Macaca fascicularis: one gene and its partners. The protein of the gene in region 2 interacts with the protein of the main gene of each other region in a biochemical or structural test. Links are inferred from orthologs where the notes say so. Each region holds a gene or a part of one and is shown on either strand. Other genes may lie near its edges. The genes, in order: DNMT1, PCNA, RFC1, REV1, TRIM28, POLH and POLI.

Region 1 (3,787 bases), on a different chromosome or scaffold from region 2:
AGAATCGCTTGAACTCCATAGGCAGAGGTGGCAGTGAGCCAAGATCATGCCATTGCACTCCAGCCTGGGCAACAGAGCCAGACTCTGTCTCAAAAAAATATATAGTAATAATAACAAACACAGTCCCCAGAGAATGAGGATTGTTGGCTGTTCCACCCCAGGGGTCCCCTTGCACAGGAGGTGCCATCTCTGCCTCCCAAAGCTCTAAGAGCCACTGTCCCCTGTCCCAAGCCTATACCCCATCCCGTAACTGCAGCCTCATCACTGTCCTCTCTTCCAGCCGGCAAAGCCTGCGACCCCGCAGCCAGGCAGTTCAACACCCTCATCCCCTGGTGCCTGCCCCACACCGGGAACCGGCACAACCACTGGGCTGGCCTCTATGGAAGGCTCGAGTGGGACGGCTTCTTCAGCACAACCGTCACCAACCCCGAGCCCATGGGCAAGCAGGTAGGTGGGGAGGGGGTGTCCAAGGGCCTGTGTCAGGCCCTGTACTTGGAGGCCCAACTGGGTGGAGGTGTGGGCTTAGCCAACTGGAGGACAGCACCCCAGGACCCCAGGCACCTGGCCTCCTCTGCCTCCTGCCCACTCCGTGTCCATGGGACAGGCTCGTAGGCCAAGGCCACGGCCGGACGCTGCCAGGTTGCCATTTCCCTCCCTGTCCCCCACGGTGACCTGGCCTGGGTGCTACTACCCTCACCCACTGCGCCTCTTGCCCCAGGGCCGCGTGCTCCACCCCGAGCAGCACCGCGTGGTGAGCGTGCGGGAGTGCGCCCGCTCCCAGGGCTTCCCCGACACCTACCGGCTCTTCGGCAACATCCTGGACAAGCACCGGCAGGTCAGTGGGGCAGCGCCCACTGGGTCTGGACAGGAAGGAGGCTTCTGTGCCTGTCATTGGGTGGGACTGGGGCCAGCACAGTCACTTCCGAGAGGACACCTGTTGGCTGCCGGGTAGCCCCAGCACTCGCAGTAGGACGATGGCCCACAGGAGGGACAGGGCTGAGACATCCGAGTCAGGTTGTATCTCTACGCTGGTTCCTTACTGTTTGTCTTTGAGTCAGAGACTGAGCCAGAAGGACAGTCCGTCACACTAAGGGAGCAGGCTAAAACCCACGGTGGCGACCGCTCACTCGCTGTAGGTTCAAATGAACTAGCACCTTAATTCCTACCTGCTTCTCAGGTGTCAGCTGACTTGACGAGTTAGTCTATGAGTTAGTCTTAGTTAAGTGTATTTTCATCAACACAGGGCACATGCATAGCTTAAAAACCAGTGTCCAGGGTTCTTGTGAAAACCATGTTTCACCCCTCCCGCCGAATCTGGTTCTCAGGAAGCAGTCCCTTTTTTTTTTTTTTTTTTTTTTTTTAAATAAGATGAAGCTTTGCTCTTTCGCCCATGCTGGAGTGAAGTGGCATGATCTCAGCTCACCACAACCTACACCCCCCTGGTTTCAAGTGATTCTCCTGCCTCAGACTCCCGAGTAGCTGGGATTACAGTTGTGTGCCAACACACCGGGCTAATTTTTGTATTTTTAGTAGAGACGGGGTTTCACCATGTTGGCCAGGCTGGTCCCGAACTCTTGACCTCAGGTGATCCGCCTGCCTCAGCCTCCCAAAGTGCTGGGATTATAGGCATGCGCCTCTGCGCCGGCCAGGGAAGCAGCCACTCTTAGCTGGGAGCGAAACGTGTCTAGGTAGCCCATTTGTCTTTTTTTTTTTTCCTGAGACAGTCTCACTCTGTCACCCAGGCTGGAGTGCAGTGACATCATCTCTGCTCACTGCAACCTCCACCTCCCGGGTTCAAGCCATTCTGCTGTCTCAGCCTCCTGAGTAGCTGGGATTACAGACATGTGCCACCATGCCCAGCTAGTTTTTGTACTTTTAGTAGACGAGGTTTCGCCATGTTGGCCAGGCTGGTCTTGAACTCCTGGCCTCAACTAATCCACCTGCCTTGGCTTCCCAAAGTGCTGGGATTACAGGCGTGAGCCACCGCACCCAGCCCCATGTGTCTTTGTCTCAAGTCTTTCTGAAGCTCTTCAAAGGCCCAGTGAACTATGGCTGTGGGGTGGGACGATGGGCCAGTTGGAGGATCCAAGGACCTTGTGCTGGAAGGGCTTTGGGCCCATGTGAGCAGGACCAGAACCCCTCCCCAAGGGGCGCAATGCCCAGGGTGTCCTCCGTCTGAGCAGGGGCGGCAGTACACCTGACCCCGGGCCTCGGGCCTGGCCATCCACATCAGGCATTGCCCTTCTCCCCTCCCGCAGGTGGGCAATGCTGTGCCGCCGCCCCTGGCCAAAGCCATTGGCTTGGAGATCAAGCTCTGTATGTTGGCCAAAGCCCGAGAGAGTGCCTCAGGTATGGTGGGGTGGGCTGGGCTTCCTTTGGGGCCTGAGCGCCCTCTGGGGGTACATGCAGGGGCAGCTGCGGGCCACCGCTCTGGACTCTGGGCCTCATGTGGGTCACCCATCTTTCTGAAGGGGCTGCTGTGAGGACTGAGTTGCACGTGTCGAGTGCTTAGAGCAGGCACGCTGCACACAGCAGGCCTTTGGTCAGGTTGGCTGCTGGGCTGGCCCTGGGGCCATTTCCCTCACTCCTGTTCAGTGAGTCTGGCTCAGCAGGCACCTGCCTCAGCTGTTCACTCGAGCCTCTGGGTCTAGAACCCCCTGGGACCTTTTGAGGAGTGTTCAGTCTCCATGAATGTTCCTTTAGCACTCTGCCGCTTACTGGGTCAGCTGTTACATCAGTACGTTAACATTTCCTGATGGTCCATGTCTGTTCCTCACCTGTCATGTAGCGTGATACCGTGCGTGTTCCCCAGAGTGACTTCTCCTTTTATTTCCCTTCAGCTAAAATAAAGGAGGAGGAAGCTGCTAAGGACTAGTTCTGCCCTCCCGTCACCCCTGTTTCTGGCACCAGGAATCCCCAACATGCACTGATGTTGTGTTTTTAACATGTCAATCTGTCCGTTCACATGTGTGGTACATGGTGTTTGTGGCCTTGGCTGTCATGAAGCTGTTGTGTGAGGTTCGCTTATCAACTAATGATTTAGTGATCAAATTGTGCAGTACTTTGTGCATTCTGGATTTTAAAAGTTTTTTATTATGCATTATATCAAATCTACCACTGTATGAGTGGAAATTAAGACTTTATGTAGTTTTTATATGTTGTAATATTTCTTCAAATAAATCTCTCCTATAAACCACCCTGGGTGGGGACTCGTGATTTGCACGGGGCTTCTGGCTGAGGCCAGACAGGAACAAGCTCCTCCACACTGAAGGCGACCCACATGGAGTTTGAAGCTAGCACATGTTTGAAGCTAGACACTCCGTGTGTCTGTTTGTTCAGAACTGAGTCACATGAGTTGATCCCCATGACATGCAAATGGAACTTGCTAGTGTAGCTTCCAGGAAAGCCTTTTAACGGAAGTCTTGGCTAGCCTTCCCCATGGCTGGTAGCCCTTCTTTGGTCTGGAGTAGGTTGTGATGCCTGGCAGTAGAGCAGCCATCCTGTGACCATGAGGCAGAGCTCTGTGCAGCGACTGGTGGAACAAGGAGAGAGAAGTCACCACTGAGCTGCCCTTGGAGCTCCGGCCTCCCTATCCCGAAGCAAAACCCCTTCTTTAGTTGGGTTTTTTTCTTTTTTCTTTTTTTTTTTTTTTTGAGACAGGGTCTTGCTCTGTTGCTCAGACTGTAGTGTAGTGGGGCAGTCTTGGTTCAGTGTAACCTCTGCCTCCTGGATTCAAGAAATTGTCTTGCCTCAGCCTCCTGAGCAGCTGGGATTGCAGCCGCCCATC
Region 2 (4,321 bases):
GTTAGGAAAATAAAGATAAATGAGCATGTTCATACACAGTCTTGGCTAGAATGTAAATTGCAAACTTTTAGAGATTTAGTAACATTTATCAAAAATTTAGCCGGGCATGGTGGCACATGCCTGTAATCCCAGCACTTTGGGAGGCTGAGGCGGGTGATCACCTGAGGTCGGGAGTTTGAGACCAGCCTGGCCAACATGGTGAAACCCCGTCTCTACTAAAAAAAAAAAAAAAAAAAAAAAAAAAAAAATTAGTCGGGCGCGGTGGTAGGCGCCTGTAATCCCAGCTACTTGGGAGGCTGAGGCAGGAGAATCATTTGAACCTGGGAGGCGGAGGTTGCAGTGAGCCGAGATCGCGCCACTGCACTCCAGCCTGAATGACAGAGCAGGACTCCATCTCAAAAAAAAAGAAAGAAAGAAAAGAAAAGAAAAAAAATTAAATGTGTACGCTCTTTGACTCAGCTGTATTACTTCAAGGAGTTGATAGCACCAAAATTGCCTAAGTGCTCAAAGGTGTTTGTAATTAACAGGAGATTGATAAGTTACATACATGTGATGCTATCTTTTAAAGAGGTACTGATATAAAAAAGATGTACGTGGCATAAAATTAAATGTACTTTATTAAGTACTTTTTCGAAGTGTTTACGGAATGAGTGCATTTTGAAAAAAAAAAGTGTATTCGAACTTTCAAAAAAGCTTTAAAAGCTTTATACAAGGAACGATTGAGTGATTATAAGAGCTGGCAGTGGAATGTTAAGAGGTGAGAGGGAGCTAAGTTTAACATAACTCTTTATGGTGTGACACTTAGGAGCGCATCACTTCTGTAATTGAAAAATAAAGTGCATATTTGCAGCAGCTGTACTCTTCAGGCTACAAGGAGGCTTTTCCTCCCGGTAGGCTGGATTTGCTTTTCACTTTCACTTTCGTGGCTGGAAACTTTCTACCCACGGAGCTGGAGGCTGAGGAGGCACCATAAAGCTGGGGCTTGACGAACCGGGGCCTGGGCCGGATCCCCACATATGCCCGGACTTGTTCAGTGGTCAGGTTCAGGAGTCAGGCGAAGAGGCGGGGAGACCTGCGGGACGCTGCCCCGCCCTGCACCCGCTTCCTCCAATGTATGTCCTAGGGGGCGGGCCTCGCGGGGAGCATCGGCACGATTGGCCCTAAATTCTAACCCGCCCAGGCTGTGGGCCGGGCAGCGTGGTGACGTCGCAACGCGGCGCAGGGTAAGAGCGCGCGCTGGCGGACGCGGCGGCATTAAACGGTTGCAGGCGTAGCAGACTGGTAGTTCTGTTTCTAGGTCTCAGCTTCTCGTCACGACGTTCGCCCGCTCGCTCTGAGGCTCCTGAAGCGGAAACCGGCTAGACTTTCCTCCTTCCCGCCTGCCTGTAGCCGCGTTGCTGCCACTCCGCCACCATGTTCGAGGCGCGCCTGGTCCAGGGCTCCATCCTGAAGAAGGTGTTGGAGGCCCTCAAGGACCTCATCAACGAGGCCTGCTGGGATATTAGCTCCAGCGGCGTAAATCTGCAGAGCATGGACTCGTCCCACGTCTCCTTGGTGCAGCTCACCCTGCGGTCTGAGGGCTTCGACACCTACCGCTGCGACCGCAACCTGGCTATGGGCGTGAACCTCACCAGGTGAGCCTCGCGGCGCCGAGAAACCGGCCCCGGCCCACCCCCACCTCCGGGGTTTGGCGGGATCGCTTCCGAGCCGAGCCCTCATTGGCTGGCGTGGACCATCCGCACCTTCTCATTGGCCTGCCATGCAGGGGGGTGGGGCCCAGCTGAGCGCGCGGTTCGGAAAAGCCCGCGCTGGCTGCTGCGCGAACCTGCTTTTTCGCGCCAAAGTCACAAAGCGGGTGGTGGCGGGAAAATGACTGGTTTTTCTGCAGTGCCAGGAACACTGCTCCAGAGCTTTTGCTCACTAAATCCTGTTGGCCTTGAATGGACGCTTTAGTTGTGGCTTTTTTGTTTCCGAGACGGTCTCGATGTGTTGGCCCGGGCTGGTCTCCAACTTCTGGGCTCAGGCGATCCTCCCGGCTCAGTCGCGATTGACTTTAAATGCTTTATAATGTGCCCTTGCGAGAAAAGTGTCAGCCTGTCATCCTACTTAGTGGCAGGAGATTGTTTCTATCCAGAAGGGAAACTGCTGGTGGTATTTTAGTATAAATACTGCCAGATGCATCCCAAAATGTCTGCATTAATATTCGCATCCTCCAGCAGTGCAATTACCCTCCACCAGTTCTGAGACGGCCTATGGGTGAGAGTGGTAACCCCTTCTAACTGCATTAGAAATACAGACCTTCAGTAGATGGTGTTGATTTTAAACCATGTGTCTCCTGTCTTCTAGTATGTCCAAAATACTAAAATGCGCCGGCAATGAAGATATCATTACACTAAGGGCTGAAGATAATGCGGATACCTTGGCGCTAGTATTTGAAGCACCCAGTAAGTCGTACCTTTTTACTGAGTTATGAAGCTACAGAAGATCGAAACTCTGTGCCAGTGTTTCTCAACAGCATTTGCTTTTTTTTGGTAGACCAGGAGAAAGTTTCAGACTATGAAATGAAGTTGATGGATTTGGATGTTGAACAACTTGGAATTCCAGTGAGTATCAGTTTCTGATTGTAGCGACTGCTGTACACAGGCATGATAGTTATGTCATAGAATGTTGTTTATTTTTACAGACAGGGTCTTCCTCTTTTCCCCAGGCTGGAGTGCAGTGGTGCCATATAGCTCACTGTAACCTGGGACTCCTGGGCTCAAGCAATCCACTTAGTCTCCTAAGTGGCTAGGAAGGACTACAGATCTGTCCCACCACGCCTGGCTAATTTTTTTATTTTTGTGTGTGGGTGTGGGGGCAGTCTTGCCCAGGCTGGTCTGGAACTCCTGGCCTCAATGATCCTCCTCCGTCAAGATAAGTTAATATAATTTAAGCCTACTTCATAACAGAACTTTTTCTAGAAACATATCTACTGGTGCATGTTTTAAAGAGATTTTAGTATTTGGATAGTTGTTTACCACAAGTCTAAAACTCACTGGTTAAATTTATTGTTTACTGCCAGTTGTCTATTTGCATTAATTTCCATGAACCTCTTTTAAAATTTGCTTCCTTCTAGGATGGTTGGTTTTGTTTTGTTTTGTTTTGTTTTTGAGGCGGAGTATCGCTCTGTCGCCCAGGCTGGAGTGCTGTGGCCAGATCTCAGCTCACTGCAAGCTCCGCCACCCAGGTTTACGCCATTCTCCTGCCTCAGCTTCCCGAGTAGCTGGGACTACAGGCGCCCACCACCTCGCCCGGCTAGTTTTTTTTTTTTTTTTTTTTTTTGTATTTTTTAGTAGAGACGGGGTTTCACCAGGTTAGCCAGGATGGTCTCGATCTCCTGACCTTGTGATCCGCCTGTCTCGGCCTTCCAAAGTGCTGGGATTACAGGCTTGAGCCACCGCGCCCGGCCCGATGCTTGGTTTTTATTAAGTGGGTTTGAAAGCTATCTTAGAAGAAATGTATCCAGGTTAGGTTTATAAACACCAAAGGAGAGAAGAAATGTTGGAATGTTGAAAATGCCTAATATCATATTCTCTCGTTTTCTTTTAGAAAATAGTTAGACCTGCTTGCGCCGTCATCATTTCTGTGGCATACTCTAATGTTCTCTTACTTTATCCCTGGAGGATGAGGAGGAGGAGGCGCTTGTTCCCTGGGCAGTGCATTTAATAGCCATTTATTTTTTTTGAGTGGAGTTTGTTAAGAAATTACACGAGTCAGTAATCAGAAAATCTTGATTCTGAGTTGTTTAGATGTTGCCTTTTAAGAAAGTGAGGGTGCCAAATCATTAAATTTCTAACAATTAACTTTTGGAAAATTTTTGTTCTTAATAGGAACAAGAGTACAGCTGTGTAGTAAAGATGCCTTCTGGTGAATTTGCACGTATATGCCGAGATCTCAGCCATATTGGAGATGCTGTTGTAATTTCCTGTGCAAAAGACGGCGTGAAATTTTCTGCAAGTGGAGAACTTGGAAATGGAAACATTAAATTGTCACAGACAAGTAATGTCGATAAAGAGGAGGAAGCTGTAAGTAGTTTTTAAGTAAAAAAAATAGTTTGAAGAGAATTGTAATACTGCTTATTAGGTTAATTGCTAAAATTAAAAGTAGACAGAATTGGATCCCAAGTAATTTCTGAAAATTGAGATACTGTTGAAATCTGCAACTGATTTGTAAGTGTCATCCAATTTAGAATTATATTTGCAAGAAGGGAATACAAATTCAGCACGTGTACATACCACAGAACAATGGTTTATGGATCAAGCCCACACAGGCTCTTAAGGGT
Region 3 (3,798 bases), on a different chromosome or scaffold from region 2:
TTCTCTTCTTTCTTTTCTTTTTTTTTTTTTGAGACAGAGTCTCGCTCTGTTGCCCAGGCTGGAGTGCAGGGGTGCGATCTCAGTTCACTACAAGCTCCACCTCCTGGGTTCATGCCATTCTTGTGCTTCAGCCTCCTGAGGAGCTGAGACTACAGGCGCCTGCCGCAATGCTCAGCTAATTTTTTGTATTTTTGGTATCGACGGGGTTTCACCGTGTTAGCCAGGATGGTCTCGATCTCCTGACCTTGTGATCTGCCTGCCTCGACCTCCCAAAGTGCTGGGATTACAGGCATGAGCCACTGCGCTCAGCCCAATCTGGCCTTATTTATCTATATTTCAAAAAATTTTAATGTAAATGGATACATAGAAATAGGAATGTTAGATTTTGGTTGTAAGATGTGAATCAGAAGTTTTATTTGCTGCGTTTTAACTTAAGAATCCTTGTTTTTTTATTTTTGGTCACTCTTGGCTCTCCCAGGTGGTCACTGAGTAGCGGCTCCTAGAAGCAGTGCAGCTAGGGCAGGCCAGCAGCCGCATCTCTGAGGCATTCATTCAGATTTTCGTCTTCCTTGCTAAAAAAGCAGTTTTATATTGGGTACTGTATTTAGGTTGAGATCTTTAACTCAAAACAGAATTTGGTAGACATTTGTAATTAAGAGAGTTATTTGTTCTTTTTGACTTTTGTATAGTTATACAGGATTATTGGCCTGAGTAATAAAATAAGCAAGACACTTCCAGAAGGCCTAATGCTTTTCTTGATTCTACCCACACATTGCTTGAAAACAAGAAACAAAATTTCATTCTGGAGACACAGAACTTTTTATTTTTATTTTTGAGACAAGGTCTCACTCTGTCACCTAGACTGCAGTGCAGTGGTGTGATCACGGCTCACTGCAGCCCTGACCTCCTGGGCTCAAGCAATCCTCCCGCCTCAGCCCTGCAAGTAGCTGGGACTATAGGTGTGCGCCACCATGCCAGCTAATTTTTGTTATTTTTGTTGAGGCGGGGTTTCACCATGTTGGCCGGACTGGTCTTGAACTCCTGGGCGCAAGTTGTCTGCCCATCTCCCAAAGTGCTGGGGTTACTGGCATGAGCCACTGCACCTGGCCCAAAATATTTTCTTTTATATTTTATGTGTTTAGTTTTGTTTACTTAATAATTGTACCTCAAAGGCATAATGTTTTAACACAGGAAAACCTTAATGTACAAAAATACTTCCAAAAGTGTTCTGATAACAAAAAGAGAAAATCTCCAGGTCTAGCAGCAGGAGAATGATGATGATGAATTCTCTTGAGGAAGTATTTATAGCCTTTAAAACTATTTGCAAAGATTGTCTAATAGGAAAAAATGCTTGTGAGGGAATTACTAGAATAAGTAGTATACAAAATTTATGTAGACTATAATTCCAGTCTTTAAGAAAGTGAACACACTAGACATAGAAGACATCTAAGGATACATTTTTAAAAAACTTTTCTCAAGTGCCAGTTTAATGGACTCTAATCATTCGTCTTTCTATGCTTTAATCTGCCTATGCTGTCAATCATTTATGTTAAAGACCATCATATCCCTCTTAAGTAATTATTTGCTGTGACGTTGTGAGGTAACTGGTCTGTTGAGATTAGTTGCTTGAGGAGGCTGAGTTGGCGAGATGATCTCCCTGTGAGCCATAACACCTAGGATCAAGGTGTGTACCACAGTCTGTTGTTTTCTTTGGGAGAAGTTTCCCGTACCAACAGATCAGAGTTAGAGAAAGCATCTGACTGGCCCGTAGGTAGGTATTTGGGACAGTGTTGCTTTATCTTCCATAGACTGTTCGGAAGCCAATGACTGTTAAGGAAGTAACTTTGTACCAAACATAAATTCTGGACTGCAATTGATTTTTTTCAGGCCATTTATGCCAGTGTTCTTCCTGGAGAGTTGATGAGAGGGTTCATGACCCAGTTTCCCACCTTCCCGAGCTGGCTGGGGAAGCACTCGTCTACAGGCAAACACGATCGTATTGTTCAGGACCTGGCCTTGCATATGAGTCTCAGGTAGGTGGGATTACTCTGTTTCGGGTATTTTATCGATTTGATGTATTTGGCCTTTATCCAGTAACAATCATGTGAGTCAAAAGATTTGTGTTTTAGTTTTTATTTTATTGCTAACTAGATGAATGATCCTGGATAAGTTCCTTATATTTTATGGGCTGAGTTTTATCATGTATAATCAGTATAACTCTTGTTTTACCACTTAAAAGGATACTTTGGAGAATAAAATGGTAGATGTCATAATTTAAAATTTTAAAGACTACAGAAGTCTGAGATGGCACTGTTATTGTTATTATGTCTATTACTAGTGGGAATAGCTTCCCAGCTTCAGAATAATTAATTGGAAAATAATTGAACTATTTAAAGAAACAAACTGTTTTTTACCAATTTTCTCTAGTAGTAAACTGACCTAGTCATGTGGGATTGGAAATAACAGTTTAGCATGCAACAGGAGGAGGCTGCTCACATCACTGAAAACGAACGTGCTTGAAAAAGTTTAAGGAAGTTAAAAAATACTTGCATTTGGTACAATTTTGTTGAACTTTAGAAACTTGGAAAATGTGCGTACACATAAATATTATGGATTCTTCTTCTTTTTTGAGACAGGGTCACACTCTGTCACCCAGGCTGGAATGCAGTAGTGTGATCTCTGCATTATAGTGAATTCACAATTTGTAAAGTAAATTAAGACCTCCCTACTTTTTAACCCTGATCAAGTCACTGAACTTTTTTGTAGGTCTGTTTCTCTTCTTTAAAAAATGCAAGTGTGATCTTATTATTGGTTCGTAACCTTTTTGGGGGTCATAGGTGCTTTTGAGATTTTTATTCCCCCGACAATGCATAGATCCACAAAGAAAACACTTTTGGGGAATTACAGATTCCTGAGGTTAAGAACCCTTGCTTTAGGTACCCTAAATGGTATCTTTGACTTTTCTATGAGTCTACTAGAAAATGATGATACTGTAAACATTGTAGGAGAACAATTTTGGAAATGGTTTCATGATTTTTGGGGGTACTGTGGTTCAGGGACCCACACTACTTCCTTTAAGTACTAGCGTGCTTAATTATGGAAGACAATGTAGAGGAAATGGATGAAATTGAAATAGGAGAGTGTTAAAAACTCTTTGTCTAGGTAATAGTTGCGAGGGTGAGTCTAGATTTCTGATCAGGAGAAAAGCTGTGGCTTCTTGTGGTTCACACATTCAGTTCCTTGAAGGCAGGAGCAGGACCCATAGATAATTTGTAAAGAATCATTTCTTTCTGCTTCTGATGCTGGTTCTGATACCAACAGCTTTTGAGGTTGCTTGTTTAAAATATGTATACAGACTGGGCGCAGTGGCTTACGTCTGTAATCCCAGCACTTTGGGAGGCCAAGGCGGGCGGATCGCCTGTCAGGAGTTTGAGACCAGCCTGGGTAACATGGTGAAACCCTGTCTCTACTAAAAATACAAAAAAAAGTAGCTGGTTGTGGTAGCGGGCGCCTGTAATCCCAGCTACTCGGGAGGCTAAAGGCAGGAGAGCCTCCTGAACCTAGAAGGCGGAGGTTGCAGTGAGCTGAAATTGTGCCACTGCACTCCAGCCTGGGCAACAAGAGCAAGACTTTGTCTGAAAATAAATAAATAAATAAATAAATAAATAAATAAATAAATAAAAATATGTATGCATATAATTGCCTGGTTTGAAGATAGAGGCAGCTGGGTTGGAAAGATTTAGGATGGTGGCATTTGAAATATTGTTTTGTTCAGTAGCTTTCTGTCTTTAAGAAGTG
Region 4 (3,798 bases), on a different chromosome or scaffold from region 2:
AAAAAAAAAAACGATACACAAAGGCAGGCTAATAGTAGCTAGAAAAATGCTGGTGAAGGAGAGCAATTCCATTTACATAGGTGTATAAATGTAATTGGTAAAAAGATGAGTGAATCACTGTAATGTCTGAAAACTGGTGAAAGCATTTAAAAACCTGGGTTTTTTTGTTTTTGTTTCTGTTGAGATGGATTCTGACTCTGTCACCCAGGCCTGAGGGCAGTGGCGCGATCTGATCTCACTGCAACTTCCGCCTCCTGGGTTCAAGCGATCCTCCTGTCTCAGCCTCTTGGGTAGCTGGGATTACGGGGCATGCCACCATGCCCAGCGAATTTTTGTATTTTCAGTAGACATAGGGTTTCACTATGTTGGCAAGGCTGATCTTCAACTCTTGACTTCAAATGATCCGCCCACCTCAGCTTTCCATAGTGTTCGGATTACAGGTGTGAGCCAATGTACCTGGACTGAAACCCTCGTTTTTTATGTCAGGGCCAACTACTTAATATTAAACTTCATGAAAGATTTGTGACCAATATGAAGATATGTGGTTTTATGTGTCATTTTATGTTAGACTGTATGTCATCTGTGAAACCAAAGTTTTGAGGCTTTTGACACTTTTGAAAGCTACTTATAAGGAACTATGAAGTACAGTTTCATTGAAGATTAGCTCATGCCAACCATACATGGTGCATTCATGTATATGATGATATTGCTAAGTCATGAGATGACGGCTCTTAAACAGAGAAACTCCCAAGTTACCATGAAAGCAGGAATTACAAATTACAATTAGACAACATGATTTATGAAATACATTTTTTATCAGTTGGTTATCTTGAATTATATTTACTGAAGTGTTACGATATATACATGTATCTCAAATAGTAAATAGTGGTCATTTATTTATTTAAAAACTTATTTATGTAGAGATAGGATCTTGCCCTGTTGCCCAGGCCTGGCCTTGAACAATCCTTTTGCCTTGACCTCCCAACGTTTTGGGATTACAGGTGTAAGCCACTGTGCCCAGTTTTTAGTGGTCATTTCTATAAGCAGATGAAGTAATGCGATTGTCTTCTTAAACATTTCTATGGGAAAATCAGATTCAATTTATAGTATTTTTTTTCTGGGACTATTTCTTGTTTAAAGGCCTGGAACTTCATTTGTTCATTAATCTAAAACACGAAATAACTTTCCTTTGGAAAGAGAACTGGTAGTAATTTGTGATCTGTTACTGAGTGAGTAATTCTGTTTGTAATGGGACACCCTGCTCATGCCAGAGAAGCTCAAACAGCTCTGAAGGAAATGGTGGGTGAGGTCATCACATCTTTGGGACCAAGTAATGCTGACGGATCATTTGGTCCTCTCTCAAGAGTTCTTAAAGATCTAAGAATTGTTTATTGGCTTTACTGTAAACACGAAGGAGAGTCAAGAAACAACATACCGAGAATTCATCTTTCTCTTCTGAATATTTGCTGTACCTCAGCATACATAATCTTGGAACCTAAAACTTCTCTTGGAATCAAGAACATTGTGTTTACCATTCATTTGTGCTTTAGCTGGAAAATATGTATTCATTTGTGCATGTGTTAGCTAAATTATGCCTTTTTCTAAATTTCTCAACTGATTTGTAGTTGACCCAGGTGTCCGTTATCGTTATTACCTTGAAGTTCCAGTGTTCCATAATTTTCCTTTCCCCCTTCTTTGCCAGTGTAACTAATTTGGTATTTCTGGCTTCCTGGAAGGGGGACTGTGGCATTCACTTTTATAATCTTTGTAACTGTTTACAACTTTTCTGTAACTCTTTTAAACCGTTCCATACTACTTTAGTACTAGTGAATACATATGGAATGAAGCTTTTGTTGTATAATTCTATCACTTACAGGACTGTAACTCTTGACCAGGCAACAGATAATGCAAAAATAATTGGAAAGGCGATGCTAAACATGTTTCATACAATGAAACTAAATATATCAGACATGAGAGGGGTAAGTGTATAGTAACATTGTAAATTCTGACTTTCTGTAATTTTTGTGTCATTTGAGGCTTGCTCTCAGAATGGTTATTGCTGGCATATAGGGACTTTATATGTAGGTCTTTAGCTGCTTTGTGATATAAGGAAAAGAGAAACAAAAATTCTTGACTTTCTCCATTTTGATCTTCTTCATTTTAGAATAATTTTCTCAGATTCTTACTGTGCTTTTCCAAGGTATCCCTAATTAACCAGGGGCTAATATACATGTCCTCCCTGTTCTTGTTTCCTAGAAGTAGATATGACTGAGGAGTATGAATACATAAATTTTGTGCCTTTAAGTTCCTTTTTAATCAGAAACATACTCTGCTGTCTGCCATATGATGACCTAGAAGGGAGTGAAACCACAGGCACAACAAGATGCCTTTGAAACAGGCAAGAGGCATCAAAATGTCAAAACCATAGATTTTTTGTGTGGGTTTTTTTTTTTTTTTTTTTGAGACGGAGTTTTTGCCCTGTTGCCCAGGCTGGAGTACAGTGACGCGATCTCAGCTCACTGCAACCTCCACCTCCTGGGTTCAAGCAGTTCTCCTTCCTCAGTCTCCCGAGTAGCTGTGGGTACAGGCACCCGCTACCACGCCCTTTTGTATTTTTAGAGACGAAGTTTCACCATGTTGGCCAGGCTGGTCTCAAACTCCTGACCTCAGGTGATCCGCCCGCTTCGGCCTCTCAAAGTGTTGGGATTACAGGCATGAGCCACTGTGTCTGGCCCCCATCTCTACTAAAAATACAAAAATTAGCCGGGTGTTGTGGTACATGCTGTTATAGTCCCATCTACTCGGGAGGCTGAGGCAGGAGAATCACTTGAACCCAAGAGACAGAGCTTGCATGAGCCAAGATCATGCCATTGCACTCCAGCCTGGGTGACACAATGAGGCTGTGTCTCAAAAGAGGAAAAAAAAAAAAAGAACCTTTGTAGGTTTAGTTTATTGTGTGCGTGTGTAAGTTAAGGGTTGTTCTGGCTTGATTGTGGACTTTGTTGAAGGATTAGTCACTAAGCCGGCCATAATTGTAATTTCTCCCTGAAATACTGTTACAGTGGCACTTTATAGAGGGGTCTGTGGTGTGCCTGCTGTTCACCAGTCCCACCAGTATTTTTTGAGAAGTATTTCATTTTAAAAAGATAAAAATAGTTAAGTTTCCAAGTAGCCTGTCCTCTCTTAATTTTTTTTTTATCCTAATTTAAAACCTTAGTTGACCAGAACATCAGTGAAATACAGTATTCCACTTGTTTGGATTTTCTGATTTTAAAGACGTTTTGGTATATTTTGGGAGAATTGGATACTCTGAAGTTTGAGATGAATGACCACTCACTAGCTAGTCTAGAAACTGTTTTTGTAATAACTCATATAGAATGCTGTTGTTTGAATACTTTCATTTACCTTTATTCTAGAAACAGGATCTAGGAGGTAGTGAAAAGGATTTGCTGAGGATTTTGCTTAGCTGAATTCATATTTTACTTTAGTTTTCCTGGAAGCATACTCTTTATTCTGGGTTCTAGGTTGGGATTCACGTGAATCAGTTGGTTCCAACTAATCTGAACCCTTCCACATGTCCCAGTCGCCCATCAGTTCAGTCGAGCCACTTTCCTGGTGGGTCATACTCTGTCCGTGATATCTTCCAAGTTCAGAAAGCTAAGAAATCCACAGAAGAGGAGCACAAAGAAGGTTGGTGGTCATCAGTGGGGTTCTCGTTTAGGTGCTGCTTATGTCCTTGGAAAGACGGCAGTTGGTTTTAAACTTGACACAGCTTTATGTGATTTAAAAAAATTATAT
Region 5 (4,527 bases), on a different chromosome or scaffold from region 2:
CCCACACAGACCCTGTTTCCCTCAGACAGGATTCTCCCCACACAAACCCTACTTTCCTCCTCAGACAGGATTCTCCCCACACGGACCCGCTTCCTTCCCTCCTGGGGATTCCCCACTGTTGAGGTTCAGTTTCCCCATCTGGAAAAGCATCAAAGTCAGGGTAGCCACTGACTAAATCATGCGGACGGGACGCCTGGGGGGCTGGATGGGATTTCATAGACTCATTGCTCTGTAGCCTCTTGTGATTTATAGTTTGTGTGTGTGTTTTTGCGGCGGGCGGTAGGGGGGCCGGCGTGGTGGCTGACACCTGTAATTCCAGCTCTTTGGGAGGTCGAGGCGGGTTGATCACCTGAGGTGGGGAGTTGGAGACCAGCCTGGCCAAAGTGGTGAAAGTCAGTCTCTACTAAAAATACAAAAAATAGTCGGGCGTGTGGAGGCGGATGTCTGTAATCCCAGCTACTCAGGAGGCTGAGGCAGGATAATTGCTTGAACCCGGGAGGCAGAGGTTGCAGTGAGCCGAGATCGCGCCACTGCACTCCAGCCTGGGCAACAGAGCAAAACTCCGTCTCAAAACAAACACAAAAAGATTTCTTCTTTTGAGATGGAGTTTCGCTCTTTTCTCCCAGGCTGTAGTGCAATGGCACGATCTCGGCTCACTACAACCTTCGCCTTCCGGGTTCAAGCGATTCTCCTGCCTCAGCCTCCCGAGTAGCTGGGAGTACAGGCGCCCGCCACCACGCCCGGCTAATTTTTGTATTTTTAGTAGAGACGGGGTTTCACCATGTTGCCCAGGCTGGTCTCGAACTCCCGACCTCAGGTGATCGACCCGCCTCGACCTCCCAAAGTGCTGGGATTAAAGGCGTGAGCCGCCGCGCCCGGCCACATTTTTTTCGATCTGTTGTCTAGGCTGGCGTGCAGTGGCACAATCCCGGCTCACTGCTGCCCCGGCCTCCTGGGCTAAACGGAGCCTCCCGATTCGCCTAAGAAAATGGTGGGATTACAGGTATGAGCCACGGCGCCCGTCTGTGATCTACATTTGATTTAGGCAACTTTCTGTGTTTCTCAAGTTTAACTATAACGTGGTTAAAATTCAAAAGTCAGCCCCTGCTCTCACACAGGCGCTTCCTCCCTCCTGGGATGGAGCCTGTCCTCCCCTCTCCCGGGGCACAGCCCTTTACTCCGTCTTGGCCCCGCCTACTTCTCCATTGGCCCTGCCCCCTATCCCGAACGCTTAGTGACGCAGAGGCTGGAGACGACTCTACGCGAGCGAAAAGACGCGGGTTGAGGAAGAGTTACGGACTGCCCATGCGCTTGGGCGCACAGCGGCCCGCTTCGGTGTGGTCTGGAGGTGGAGCTGAGAGGGGAATCACACTCTATAAAGGTGCGCACACCCCACTGGCGGATTAAATTGCGGCAGTGACGTCACAGAGGGACCGCCCCGCCCCCACAAGACCCCACCGACGTGGGGTTGGCCGTGGTGGAAGGACCCGGAGTGGGCGCGTGCGTACTGGCAGCCTCTCCCGCCCCGACCGGCCTGGGCCCCGCCCCCGGGCGTGCGGCGCCCAATGCGCGTGCGCGGCGGCGTCGGCGCCAGTTATTTCTGTCCCGCCCCCCGGCCTCGGCTCTTTCTGCGAGCGGGCGCGCGGGCGAGCGGTTGTGCTTGTGCTTGTGGCGCGTGGTGAGGGTTTCGGCGGCGGCTGAGGAAGAAGCGCGGGCGGCGCCTTCGGGAGGCGAGCAGGCAGCAGTTGGCGGTGCCGCAGCAGCGTCCCGCGCGCGGCGGGCAGCGGCCCAGGAGGCGCGTGGCGGTGCTCGGCCTCGCGGCGGCGGCGGCGGCCCAGCAGTTGGCGGCGAGCGCGTCTGCGCCTGCGCGGCGGGCCCCGCGCCCCTCCTCCCCCCTGGGCGCCCCCGGCGGCGTGTGAATGGCGGCCTCGGCGGCGGCAGCCTCGGCAGCAGCGGCCTCGGCCGCCTCTGGCAGCCCGGGCCCGGGCGAGAGCTCCGCTGGCGGCGAAAAGCGCTCCACCGCTTCTTCGACCGCGGCCTCGGCCTCGGCCTCGGCCTCGGTGTCGTCGCCCGCGGGGGGCGGCGCCGAGGCGCTGGAGCTGCTGGAGCACTGCGGCGTGTGCAGAGAGCGCCTGCGACCCGAGAGGGAGCCCCGCCTGCTGCCCTGTTTGCACTCGGCCTGTAGTGCCTGCCTAGGGCCCGCGGCGCCCGCCGCCGCCAACAGCTCCGGGGACGGCGGGGCTGCGGGCGACGGCGCCGGTAAGTACGAAGTGATCGGGGCCACCCCTCCCCCTACTCTCTGCCTTTGATTCCCACTGGGTGCAGAGATGAGGATGCCACCTGGGCAAGAGGATGGGGGCCCGGACAGTGCACGGGGAGTACTTTCTGGGTCCTGCATAGGAACGTGGGTTTGAGCTGGCCGCTGAGATGAGACATCTGACTAAAGTTGGAGAAAGGGCTCGGGGAGGGGAGGGGCTGGCTCGCTGCGGGGTAATGGTCGGGGGCCCACCCAGCACGGGGATGCGGGGGGCCATAACTTGGGTGGGAACTTGTAACAGTCTCCCACATCCCTGCCTCTTGAAGTGGTGGACTGTCCCGTGTGCAAGCAACAGTGCTTCTCCAAAGACATCGTGGAGAATTATTTCATGCGTGATAGTGGCAGCAAGGCTGCCACCGACGCCCAGGATGCTAACCAGGTGCGTCCAACCGCAGCAACCACAGGGAGGTTTCTGGGGAGGGGGCATCTGCCCAGGAGGAGCTTGACACCAGCTCCCAGGCTGTTACTCGACTTTCCCAAGGCTCTGGGTGGGCTGTCTAGGCTGGGTCAAGGGACCAATCTTAATCTTGGGTTGTATTTTCTGAGGTGTAGATGTGGATCTAGCAAGTTGTCTTGCTTTCTCTGACCCTGCCTTTGTCTGGCAGTGCTGCACTAGCTGTGAGGATAATGCCCCAGCTACCAGCTACTGTGTGGAGTGCTCGGAGCCTCTGTGTGAGACCTGTGTAGAGGCGCACCAGCGGGTGAAGTACACCAAGGATCACACTGTGCGCTCTACTGGTACGTGAGGCTGAGGGGGCTGTTGCTTTCCCGTGTGTGCCCTCAGTTGCTTTTATAATGTTGGTTGCATTTGGTGGATGGGTCCTAGAGTTGTCCAGGGGGTGCCGCCCGAAGGGCCGGAGAGCAGAACTCCAAAAGCAGGAAAATTGTGGTTGTGGTGTGTAGTCTCTAGGGCTTAGGTGGGAGGGGGTGGGAAGGGGAGACGTGGAGACCTTAATGTGCTGCAGGGAGGTACAGAGGGTTTGAGGAAGCTTATCAGGGAGTTCTCAGTCCTGGTGTTGAAGGGCTCAGAATATGCAAACAGGGAAAGGCATGGTGTGAAGGGCTTACTGGGTTTGTGGTTCCCTGGCACACATCTGGTATAAGACGCTGTTAGGGAAAATGAGACTTTGTGGGTCCATGGGTTATAAGTGATGGTGATTTCTGGAAACGTTTTAGCTTTTGAGTTGGCAGAGACTTACCCGGAGTTTGGTTTGGCATTTCCAGCTTTTCGCAGACACTCGCTAGCTTTGATTTGGAAAGGAGCTTGAGAGTCTTTTGAGTGTAGCCCAGTTTTTGGGCCAAAATCCTCCCATGAGTGGCCTTTTGGTAGCCATACCGTGATTCTTCCCATCCCAGAGGCCAGCATTGGTGGAAGATAGTGGGAAAGTGGCGGCTGTGGGGCCTGAGGAGCCAGGAGGGATAGGCAGGGGCTGCAGGGTGTCCTACATTCCAGACGTCCCAAGCAAAGGTCAGGGTGCAGGAATGGTGGCACTGGGGAAGTCAGTTTCCCCAGTGAGCCCTGATGCTACGTATTTTGGATTTGGTTGGTATGTTGGACCACTATGCTTAATCGGTTTTCTAATGGGGAAGCAGGCTTTGAAGGTTATTAATGTGTTGGTCTTGGGGTGGAATTATGCTGAGCACCAAGCTCCTGGTCTAGAGGGGGTGTGACCACCATTCTGAGGGTCCTAGTTTGACATTTTATCTCTCCCAGTATGAGAACCTCTACAGGTTTTCTCTGGGCTCTTGGGTTGTAAGAGACCCTGGTGTTTTCTTGTCACGAAAGAGGGAGGAAGTTAACCATGAAAGGAGAAGAAAAGGAGTCCAGGGTGGTTTGTAGGCAGAATTCTGAATATGTCCACTTGGAGAATAAAGGGAACAGTGTGTGTGGGGGGGTAGTCCTCTTTTTCCGGAGGCTGTCCTTACCTTTACCTTTGTGTCACCTCTAGAAGCTAGAAGAAAGGGATGTGTTTCTCAGCTATGTTGGGGCAGAGGTTTCTGGGAGCAAGGAATTGGGCTTGCAGGCCTGTGTTCTTCGCTGGCCACACCCTCTACATCTTCCCAATAAATGGCCCAGTGTCACAGAATGGGCAGGAAATGAGGCCCCAACTTAGTCTGCTTCCTGAGTTGGGGGTGGTGAAGGGCAAGGTCCAGCCTTATGATTCCGACTCCCCAGGGCCAGCCAAGTCTCGGGATGGTGAACGTACCGT
Region 6 (3,798 bases), on a different chromosome or scaffold from region 2:
TTTCTTTTTGTTTTTTGTGAGTGGGGGATGGAGTTTCACTCTTGTTGCCCAGGCTAGGGTCCAATGGTGGGATCTCGACTCACTACAACCTCCGCCTCTTGGGTTCAAGTGATTCTCCTGCCTCAGCCTCCCGAATATCTGGGATTACAGTCATATGCCACCATGCCAGCTAATTTTGTATTTTTAGTAGAAACGGGGTTTCTCCATGTTGGTCAGGCTGGTCTTGAACTCCTGACCTCAGGTGATCCACCCACCTCTGCCTTCCAAAGTGCTGGGATTACAGGTGTGAGCCGCCGTGCTTGGTCTTGCTCTTTATTTTCTTTGAGGCCTGTCTTCTTCCTGGCTCAAATAATGATTAAAAAAAAAAAAAAAAAGTCAAGTGTTTCTCTAATTTGAGAATGTTTTAGAACAATGATTATACTGGTTTTTATGGGTGTCATGGTGAAGAGGTACCAGTGTTTTCATTTTTATGGTAAATGTAAATTCAATAGGAACAAAGAACTGGACACTACAAAGCAGGTCCAAACCAAAGCAAAGAAAATATCTGTATAGTGGCCGGGTGCGGTGGCTCATGCCTGTAATCCCAGCACTTTGGGAGGCCAAGATGGGAGGATCACCTGAGGTCAGGAATTTGAGATCAGCCTGGCCAACATGGTGAAACCCCATCTCTACTAAAAATATTAAAAAATTAGCCGGGCATGGTGGCAGGCGCCTGTAATCCCAGCTACTTGGGAGGCTGAGGCAGGAGAATCGCTTGAACCCAGGAGGCAGTGGTTGCAGTGGGGCCAGATCCCGCTATTGCACTCCAGCATGGGGGACAGGAGCGAGACTTCATCTCAAAAAAAAAAGAAAAGAACAAAATATCTGTATATTGTCACAGAAAACTAGCTATACAGGCAGAAGAGCTGCTTATTAAAGTTTGAATAGAAGACATATGGTGAGATTGGTATGTATACCCTGAGGACGGTTGTCTGCCCACCCAGACATATCACCACATTCTAGGTGCTTATCTTCGGTTTGATAATTTGAATATTAGTATATCCATAAATGGTTGGTTAAGGCATGTGTGTGTATGTGGTGATGACCAGTTTACATGTTAACCAAACTCACCGTTGACTGAAGTATAAAATCCATATGCCAGTTTGTTAATTTATGGTGAGAAATATTATCCTGGGGAAGACCATATGCTCTGGTTCACTGATCAGTGCAGTGTTCCATGTAAATCACCCTTTTTTTTTTTTTTGAGACAAAATTAGAAGCAGAAGATTTCTTGGTGGATATATGAAAATAAAAAGAATAGGTGATCACAGTAATACACAAATGTGAGGCATTTCTTTATTTTTTATAGAGTTCCTTGTCATATAGACGTGTTCATAGTCTGAATGCTTTCTACCTTGGTAGTTCTGGCATTGTGCTAAAAATATTTGCCTCCGTGGTTCTTCCTTTTCCATGCTTCTATTATTGACCATCTGCCTGCCTGTTGACCCTTTCAGTTACTACTTTCTAGTCTCTGTTAAGCCACATGTCTCTTGATTATGTATATTATTGTTCATTATGGCAGGGTGGGAGTGGAGCAGACAATCTCAAGGTTGCCTCTGTTTATTGCCTGCATGAATGATCCTTACACTTCTTAGGTACCGGGAAGCCAGTGTTGAAGTGATGGAGATAATGTCGCGTTTTGCTGTGATTGAACGTGCCAGCATTGATGAGGCTTACGTAGATCTGACCAGTTCTGTACAAGAGAGACTACAAAAGCTACAAGGTCAGCCTATCTCAGCAGACTTGTTGCCAAGCACTTACATTGAAGGGTTGCCCCAAGGCCCTACAACAGCAGAAGAGACTGTTCAGAAAGGTACTTCCATAACATCATATTGCTTCTGCTTCCTGCCTTTGGAACCTGCTTTGCTTGGTCATGCTGATTCTCCATGGAATAATTGAAAGGAAACTTAAACTACAGCCTGAATGAATCACAAGGACTTACATGGAAGCATATACAAATTTTCTTATCTTTCCAGGTATATGGCTGTTGAGAAGCTGTGAAATCTGTATGAAAGTAAATTTCTCTTTTAGATGTAACTAGGGCAGGTTAGTGTTATCAGTAGAAGGCAGAGGCCTGGCGCGGTGGTTCACGCCTGTAACCCCAGCACTTTGGGAGGCTGAAGTGGGTGGATCATGAGGTCAGGAGTTCAAGACCAACCTGGCAGCATGGTGAAACCCCATCTCTACTAAAATGCAAAAATTAGCTGGGCATGGTGGTGCGTGCCTGTAATCTGCTACTCAGGAGGCTGAGGCAGGAGAATTGCTTGAACCAGGACCCAGGAGGCAGAGGTTACGGTGAGCTGAGATCTCACCACTGCACTCCAGCCTAGGCTACAGAGGGAGACTCCATCTCAAAAAACAAAAAAATCACTAGAAGGCTGACTAAGCACTTTGTCATTGGTGGCTTAATTTTTATTATTGTAACTTAGTGTCTTGGTTAACTAATATATAAGAAGGGTGAGCTTTTTAAAGGGGGACCTCAGGTATAGGGAGTTGAGTGATTCAAAATTTCTACTCACTTCATAGCACATTATTACATGGGCTGCACAAGGCCCTTCTCATTGTATTTTGCTACTTTTACCCTTCATAGTGATTTTCCCACTCCCTCTGTACCCCCCTCACCCTCTTGTACCCACTGATATACTTGATATATCTTAGATGTGTATATATCTCTTCTCTTCTCTTCTCTATTTTGAGATGGAACGTCACTCTCGCCCTGGCTGGAGTGCAGTGGCACGATCTCAGCTCACTGCAACCTCCGCCTGCACGGTTCAAGCAGTTCTCCTGCCTCAGCCTCCGGAGTATTTGGGATTATAGGCATGTACCGCCAAGCCCGGCTAATTTTTGTATTTTTCATAGAGACGGAGTTTCATCATGTTGACCAGGCAGATCTCGAACTCCTGACCTCAAATGATCCACCCGCCTCGGCCTCCCAAAGTGCTGGGATTACAGGCGTAAGCCACCGCACCCGGCCTATATCTTTATAAGTTACCCAGTATTGCTTTGTATATGTGCTTTTTAATTACAAGATGATTTTGTGCTATTAATAGATCTCATTCTTTTTCTTAATTTTCCCTCAGTAGTGACCTTAGAGATCTCTCCATGTGGCTGTATTTATTTGTAATTGCTGGCTTCGATGGCTGTTACTTGCAGCATAATCCATGATATGGACCCACCATGTTTACAGACCATTTTCCCTGGTGACAAATTCATTGATTGCTTCTAATGTCCTACTGTAACAGTTTACATTCCTCCTAGGAGTACATAAAAGTTCCTGTTTCCCCCATATTCTCAACAACTCATATCATCTAATGTTTAAAAATAGGCCGGGCGCGGTGGCTCAAGCCTGTAATCCCAGCACTTTGGGAGGCCGAGACGGGCGGATCATGAGGTCAGGAGATTGAGACCATCCTGGCTAACACGGTGAAACCCCGTCTCTACTAAAAAAATACAAAAAACTAGCCGGGCGAGGTGGCGGGCGCCTGTAGTCCCAGCTACTCAGGAGGCTGAGGCAGGAGAATGGCGTGAACCTGGGAGGCGGAGCTTGCAGTGAGCCGAGATCGTGCCACTACACTCCAGCCTGGGCGACAGAGTGAGACTCCGTCTTAAAAAAAAAAAAAAAAAAATTTGCTGGCCAGGCGCAGTGGCTCATGCCTGTAATCCCAGCACTTTGGGAGGCTGAGGCAGGTGAATCACGAGGTCAGGAGATTGAGACCATCCTGGCTAACATGGTGAAACCCCGTCTCTATTAAAAATACA
Region 7 (3,798 bases), on a different chromosome or scaffold from region 2:
AATGACTTTTTTTCCATTAATTAGGTTTTGTACTTCTTAAGTGAATTTGTCATATAATTAAAACCTTTGTTTCAATACCAAAACCAAGACAATTGGATGAAACTCTTTTTAAAAATGCATGTGCACATATTGTATATTAATTATATACTAAATATAGCATATGATCTTTGAAGATATTGCTCTAATAAGCTATCATATAATGGTAATAGTGATTACTCTTTAACAAGAGTAATCTCATTTTGTAAAAAAAAAAATCTTTTTTTTGGTAATCTCATAAGAAAAAAGTTTGAAAAAAGTTATTTTGTTATTTTTCACTTACTTGCTTTTGTTAGTGAATGATTCAGTTTCTTAAATTTCCTGCTGATTTTAATTTGCTGCCTTTTGGCTAGGTGTGGTGACTTACGTCTGTAATCCCAGCATTTTGGGAGGCTGAGGTGGGGGATCACCTGAGGTCAGGAGTTCGAGAGCAGCCTGGCCAACATGGCAAAACCACCTCTCTACTAAAAATACAAAAATTAGCCAGGTGTGGTCACACGTGCCTGTAGTCCAAGCTACTCAGGAGGTTGAGGCAGGAAAACTGCTTGAACCTGGGAATTGGAGGTTGCAGTGAGCTGAGATTGTGCCACTACACTCCAGCCTGGGCAACAGAGCGAGATTCCATCTTGAAAAAAAAAATTGGTTGCTTTTAGTTTTGTTTTGAATTTGTATTATAAAACAACTTGTTTTGATTATATCTTATATCTCTTCTATTTCTGACAGCACTCAATTCTGAGTGAGGCCTGAGAGCTTGACATCTAAACATTCAGAGTTTTAGTGCATAGACTTTGTGATGATTATTTGGATACTCAGGGACCTTTATTGCTTACTATTTTGTTATCTACTATATGTATAATTGTTATATTTAACAAAATCTGGCACCTTTAGATAAATGAGGTGTTATATAATTTAAAAAGGTAATACTTTTCTAATTCCTTATTTCCACTTTCTCTTTATTTTTAGAGTATGCCAAGATGGAAGGAAGCCTCATACAGTAAGATTAATAATCCGTCGATATCCCTCTGAGAAGCACTGTGGTCGTGAGAGTCGTCAGTGCCCTATTCCATCACATATAATTCAGAAGTTAGGGACAGGTATGGACTAGTTTTCCAACAGTTTCATTAGCAGGTTGAACTCTTAAACAAGCCAACTTTGAACTAGAAATATGCTCCAAAAATGGAGGGTCTTCACAGGGAATTAGCAAGCAATTAAATGCTTTTATTCTATCAGGAATTTTCACCAGAAAACTTTGTTGTTTGTTTGTTTGTTTATTTATTTATTTTTTGAGACAGGGTCTTGCTCTGCACGAAGGCTGAAGTGCAGTGGTGCTGTGATAGCTCACTGCAGCCTTCGTCTCCCCGGCTCAAACAATTCTTCTACCCCAGCCTCCCGGGTAGCTGGGACCGTAGGTGCATGCTACCAGACCTGGCTAACTTTTTTTGACATTTAGGATAGACAAGGTCTCAAACTCCTGAGCTCAAGCAATCTTTCTGCCTCAGCCTCCCACAGTGCTCGGATTATGGGCATGAACCACTGGACCTGGCCTGGTTTTTAAATAGATAAGAGTCATTTAAGAATGTTTTCCAAGTTCAAAGAGAACAAAACTGTGATAACTGATAGCATGAGTCTTTATGGGCATTTAGATTGTTTCCATTTTGAAGAACATTTAAGTGCAAGTCATTGGATGGGCATATGCATATGTTTTCCTTTATCTTGGGTAGATTTTAAGGAGTGGAATTGCTGGATCATATGGGAACATGAACTGTTTAAGAAACTGCCAACTTTTTCCAAAGTTCATGTAATAATTTACATTTTCATCAACAATATATGAAGGTTCCAGTTTTTCATATTTTTGCCAATATTTGTATTGTCAGTCTCTTCGATTATAGTTGTTCTAGCGGTATATAGTAGTGTGGTTTTTCTTTTATGGATAGTGTTTTTGGTGTTATATGTAAAAATTCTTTGCCTAACTCAGAGGTCACATATTCTGTTTTCTTTTAGAAGTTTTATAGTTTTTAAGCTTTATGTTTATGTCCATTTTGAGTTAATTTTTTATGTGTGGTATATGGTAAGGGACTTAATTCTTTGCTTTGCATGTGGGTATCCAGTTGTTCCTGCATCATTTGTTGAAGATTTTTCTTCACCCACTGAATTACCATGGCATCTTTGTCAAAAATTAATTGACCATAAATGTAAGAGTTTATTTCCTGACTTTCTTGTTTCATTGGTCTATATGTTTATCCTTACACCGATTCCACCCTATGATGGTCTCTGCTGCTCTGTTTATTTTTCTGCAATCTTTTTTTTCTGTTCTTTCTTACAAAGTAGATAATCTGTATTGAGCTGCCTTTAAGGTCTCTGATTCATCTGTATCTCATAACTGCCATTGCCCCTGTAGTGATTTGTTGGTTTTGGTTACTGTGCTTTTTAACTCTAGAATTTCTGTTTGTCTTTTGTTTTTATGTTTGGTTTTGTTTCTTTATCGAGATTCTCCTTTTTTTGTACTCATTATATTTTGCTTTAATTCTTTAAACATGGTTGTCTTTAATTCTTTGGATATATCTATAATAATGAATTTGAAGTCTTTGCTAAGTCCACCTCAAAGTCAATTTATGTTAACTGCTTTTTCCCCCAAATATGTATCACACTTTCCTGTTTCTTTGCATGTTTTGAACTATTTTATTGAAAACTAGACCTCATAGATAATGTATTGTAGCAACTGTGGATTTAAAATTTTTTCTTGTAGGGTTTTTTTTTTCTTTCCTGTACTTTTTTTTAGGTAACTTGTCTGAACGTAATCTGCAGAATCTACCTCCCCTGGGTTCTGTAGCCACTGATTTCTCTGCTCAGTGTTCTTTTTTTTTTTTTTTTTTTTTAATTCAAATTTTTATTTTAATATGGACTTCTGGGAAGTTGCCCATGTCTGTATAGTTTCATGGTTAGCCAATGTTTGGCAAAGGTTCTGCTCAAACACTACAGTCTGGAAGCTGTCTGCCTCTGCCAGTGGATAAGTGTATGGGTTGGAAAGGACTTAAAATATTTAGGCCATTTTCCCATACTGCCCAAAGTAATTTATAGATTTAGTGCTATCCCCATCAAGCTACCACTGACTTTCTTCACAGAATTGGAAAAAAATACTTTAAATTTCATATGGAACCAAAAAAGCCCACATAGCCAACACAATCCTAAGCAAAAAGAACAAAGCTGGAGGCATCACACTACCTTACTTCAAATTATACTGCAAGGCTACAGTAACCAAAACAGCATGGTGCTGGTACCAAAACAGATGTATAGACCAATGGAACAGAACAGAGGCCTCAGAAATAACCACACATCTACAACTATCTGATGATCTTTGACAAACCTGACAAAAACAAGAAATGGAGAAAGGATTCCCTATATAATAAATGGTGCTGGGAAAACTGGCTAGCCTTATGTAGAAAGCTAAAACTGGATCCCTTCCTTACACCTTACACAAAATTTAACTCAAGATGGATTAAAGACTTAAATGTTAGACCTGAAATCATAAAAACCCTAGAAGAAAACCTAGACAATACCATTCAGGACATAAGCATGGGCAAAGACCTCATTGACTAAAACACTGAAAGCAATGGCAGCAAAAGCCAAAATTGACAAATGGAATCTAATTAAACTAAAGAGCTTCTGCACAGCAAAAGAAACTATCAACAGAGTGAACAGGCAAACTACAGAATGGGAGAAAATTTTTGCAATCTATCCATCTGACAAAGGGCTAATATCCAG

The links.
Region 1: the proteins of PCNA (region 2) and DNMT1 form a complex in vitro, tested with the Homo sapiens proteins (3 studies listed by BioGRID, with this or other methods). The link is inferred for Macaca fascicularis from reciprocal best matches to the Homo sapiens genes PCNA and DNMT1.
Region 3: the proteins of PCNA (region 2) and RFC1 form a complex in vitro, tested with the Homo sapiens proteins (5 studies listed by BioGRID, with this or other methods). The link is inferred for Macaca fascicularis from reciprocal best matches to the Homo sapiens genes PCNA and RFC1.
Region 4: the proteins of PCNA (region 2) and REV1 form a complex in vitro, tested with the Homo sapiens proteins (2 studies listed by BioGRID, with this or other methods). The link is inferred for Macaca fascicularis from reciprocal best matches to the Homo sapiens genes PCNA and REV1.
Region 5: the proteins of PCNA (region 2) and TRIM28 form a complex in vitro, tested with the Homo sapiens proteins (2 studies listed by BioGRID, with this or other methods). The link is inferred for Macaca fascicularis from reciprocal best matches to the Homo sapiens genes PCNA and TRIM28.
Region 6: the proteins of PCNA (region 2) and POLH form a complex in vitro, tested with the Homo sapiens proteins (7 studies listed by BioGRID). The link is inferred for Macaca fascicularis from reciprocal best matches to the Homo sapiens genes PCNA and POLH.
Region 7: the proteins of PCNA (region 2) and POLI form a complex in vitro, tested with the Homo sapiens proteins (4 studies listed by BioGRID, with this or other methods). The link is inferred for Macaca fascicularis from reciprocal best matches to the Homo sapiens genes PCNA and POLI.

The regions. Positions count from the first base shown.
Region 1 is NC_088393.1:10,680,341-10,684,127, reverse strand, and holds the end of DNMT1 (DNA (cytosine-5)-methyltransferase 1), read left to right. Parts: intron 1-280; coding exon 281-447; intron 448-718; coding exon 719-835; intron 836-2,258; coding exon 2,259-2,349; intron 2,350-2,840; coding exon 2,841-2,875; 3' UTR 2,876-3,196; downstream 3,197-3,787. UniProt on the Homo sapiens protein: Methylates CpG residues. Preferentially methylates hemimethylated DNA. Associates with DNA replication sites in S phase maintaining the methylation pattern in the newly synthesized strand, that is essential for epigenetic inheritance.
Region 2 is NC_088384.1:82,160,861-82,165,181, forward strand, and holds the start of PCNA (proliferating cell nuclear antigen), read left to right. Parts: upstream 1-1,253; 5' UTR 1,254-1,413; coding exon 1,414-1,634; intron 1,635-2,346; coding exon 2,347-2,444; intron 2,445-2,535; coding exon 2,536-2,603; intron 2,604-3,869; coding exon 3,870-4,064; intron 4,065-4,321. UniProt on the Homo sapiens protein: Auxiliary protein of DNA polymerase delta and epsilon, is involved in the control of eukaryotic DNA replication by increasing the polymerase's processibility during elongation of the leading strand.
Region 3 is NC_088379.1:38,580,220-38,584,017, reverse strand, and holds part of RFC1 (replication factor C subunit 1), read left to right. Parts: intron 1-1,887; coding exon 1,888-2,033; intron 2,034-3,798. UniProt on the Homo sapiens protein: Subunit of the replication factor C (RFC) complex which acts during elongation of primed DNA templates by DNA polymerases delta and epsilon, and is necessary for ATP-dependent loading of proliferating cell nuclear antigen (PCNA) onto primed DNA.
Region 4 is NC_088387.1:3,902,885-3,906,682, reverse strand, and holds part of REV1 (DNA repair protein REV1), read left to right. Parts: intron 1-1,876; coding exon 1,877-1,979; intron 1,980-3,524; coding exon 3,525-3,690; intron 3,691-3,798. UniProt on the Homo sapiens protein: Deoxycytidyl transferase involved in DNA repair. Transfers a dCMP residue from dCTP to the 3'-end of a DNA primer in a template-dependent reaction.
Region 5 is NC_088393.1:66,277,366-66,281,892, forward strand, and holds the start of TRIM28 (transcription intermediary factor 1-beta), read left to right. Parts: upstream 1-1,624; 5' UTR 1,625-1,919; coding exon 1,920-2,259; intron 2,260-2,583; coding exon 2,584-2,696; intron 2,697-2,922; coding exon 2,923-3,055; intron 3,056-4,493; coding exon 4,494-4,527. UniProt on the Homo sapiens protein: Nuclear corepressor for KRAB domain-containing zinc finger proteins (KRAB-ZFPs).
Region 6 is NC_088378.1:127,933,700-127,937,497, reverse strand, and holds part of POLH (DNA polymerase eta), read left to right. Parts: intron 1-1,634; coding exon 1,635-1,852; exon of another isoform or gene 1,853-1,981; coding exon of another isoform or gene 1,982-2,015; intron 2,016-3,798. UniProt on the Homo sapiens protein: DNA polymerase specifically involved in the DNA repair by translesion synthesis (TLS). Due to low processivity on both damaged and normal DNA, cooperates with the heterotetrameric (REV3L, REV7, POLD2 and POLD3) POLZ complex for complete bypass of DNA lesions.
Region 7 is NC_088392.1:35,312,564-35,316,361, reverse strand, and holds part of POLI (DNA polymerase iota), read left to right. Parts: intron 1-999; coding exon 1,000-1,130; intron 1,131-3,798. UniProt on the Homo sapiens protein: Error-prone DNA polymerase specifically involved in DNA repair. Plays an important role in translesion synthesis, where the normal high-fidelity DNA polymerases cannot proceed and DNA synthesis stalls. Favors Hoogsteen base-pairing in the active site.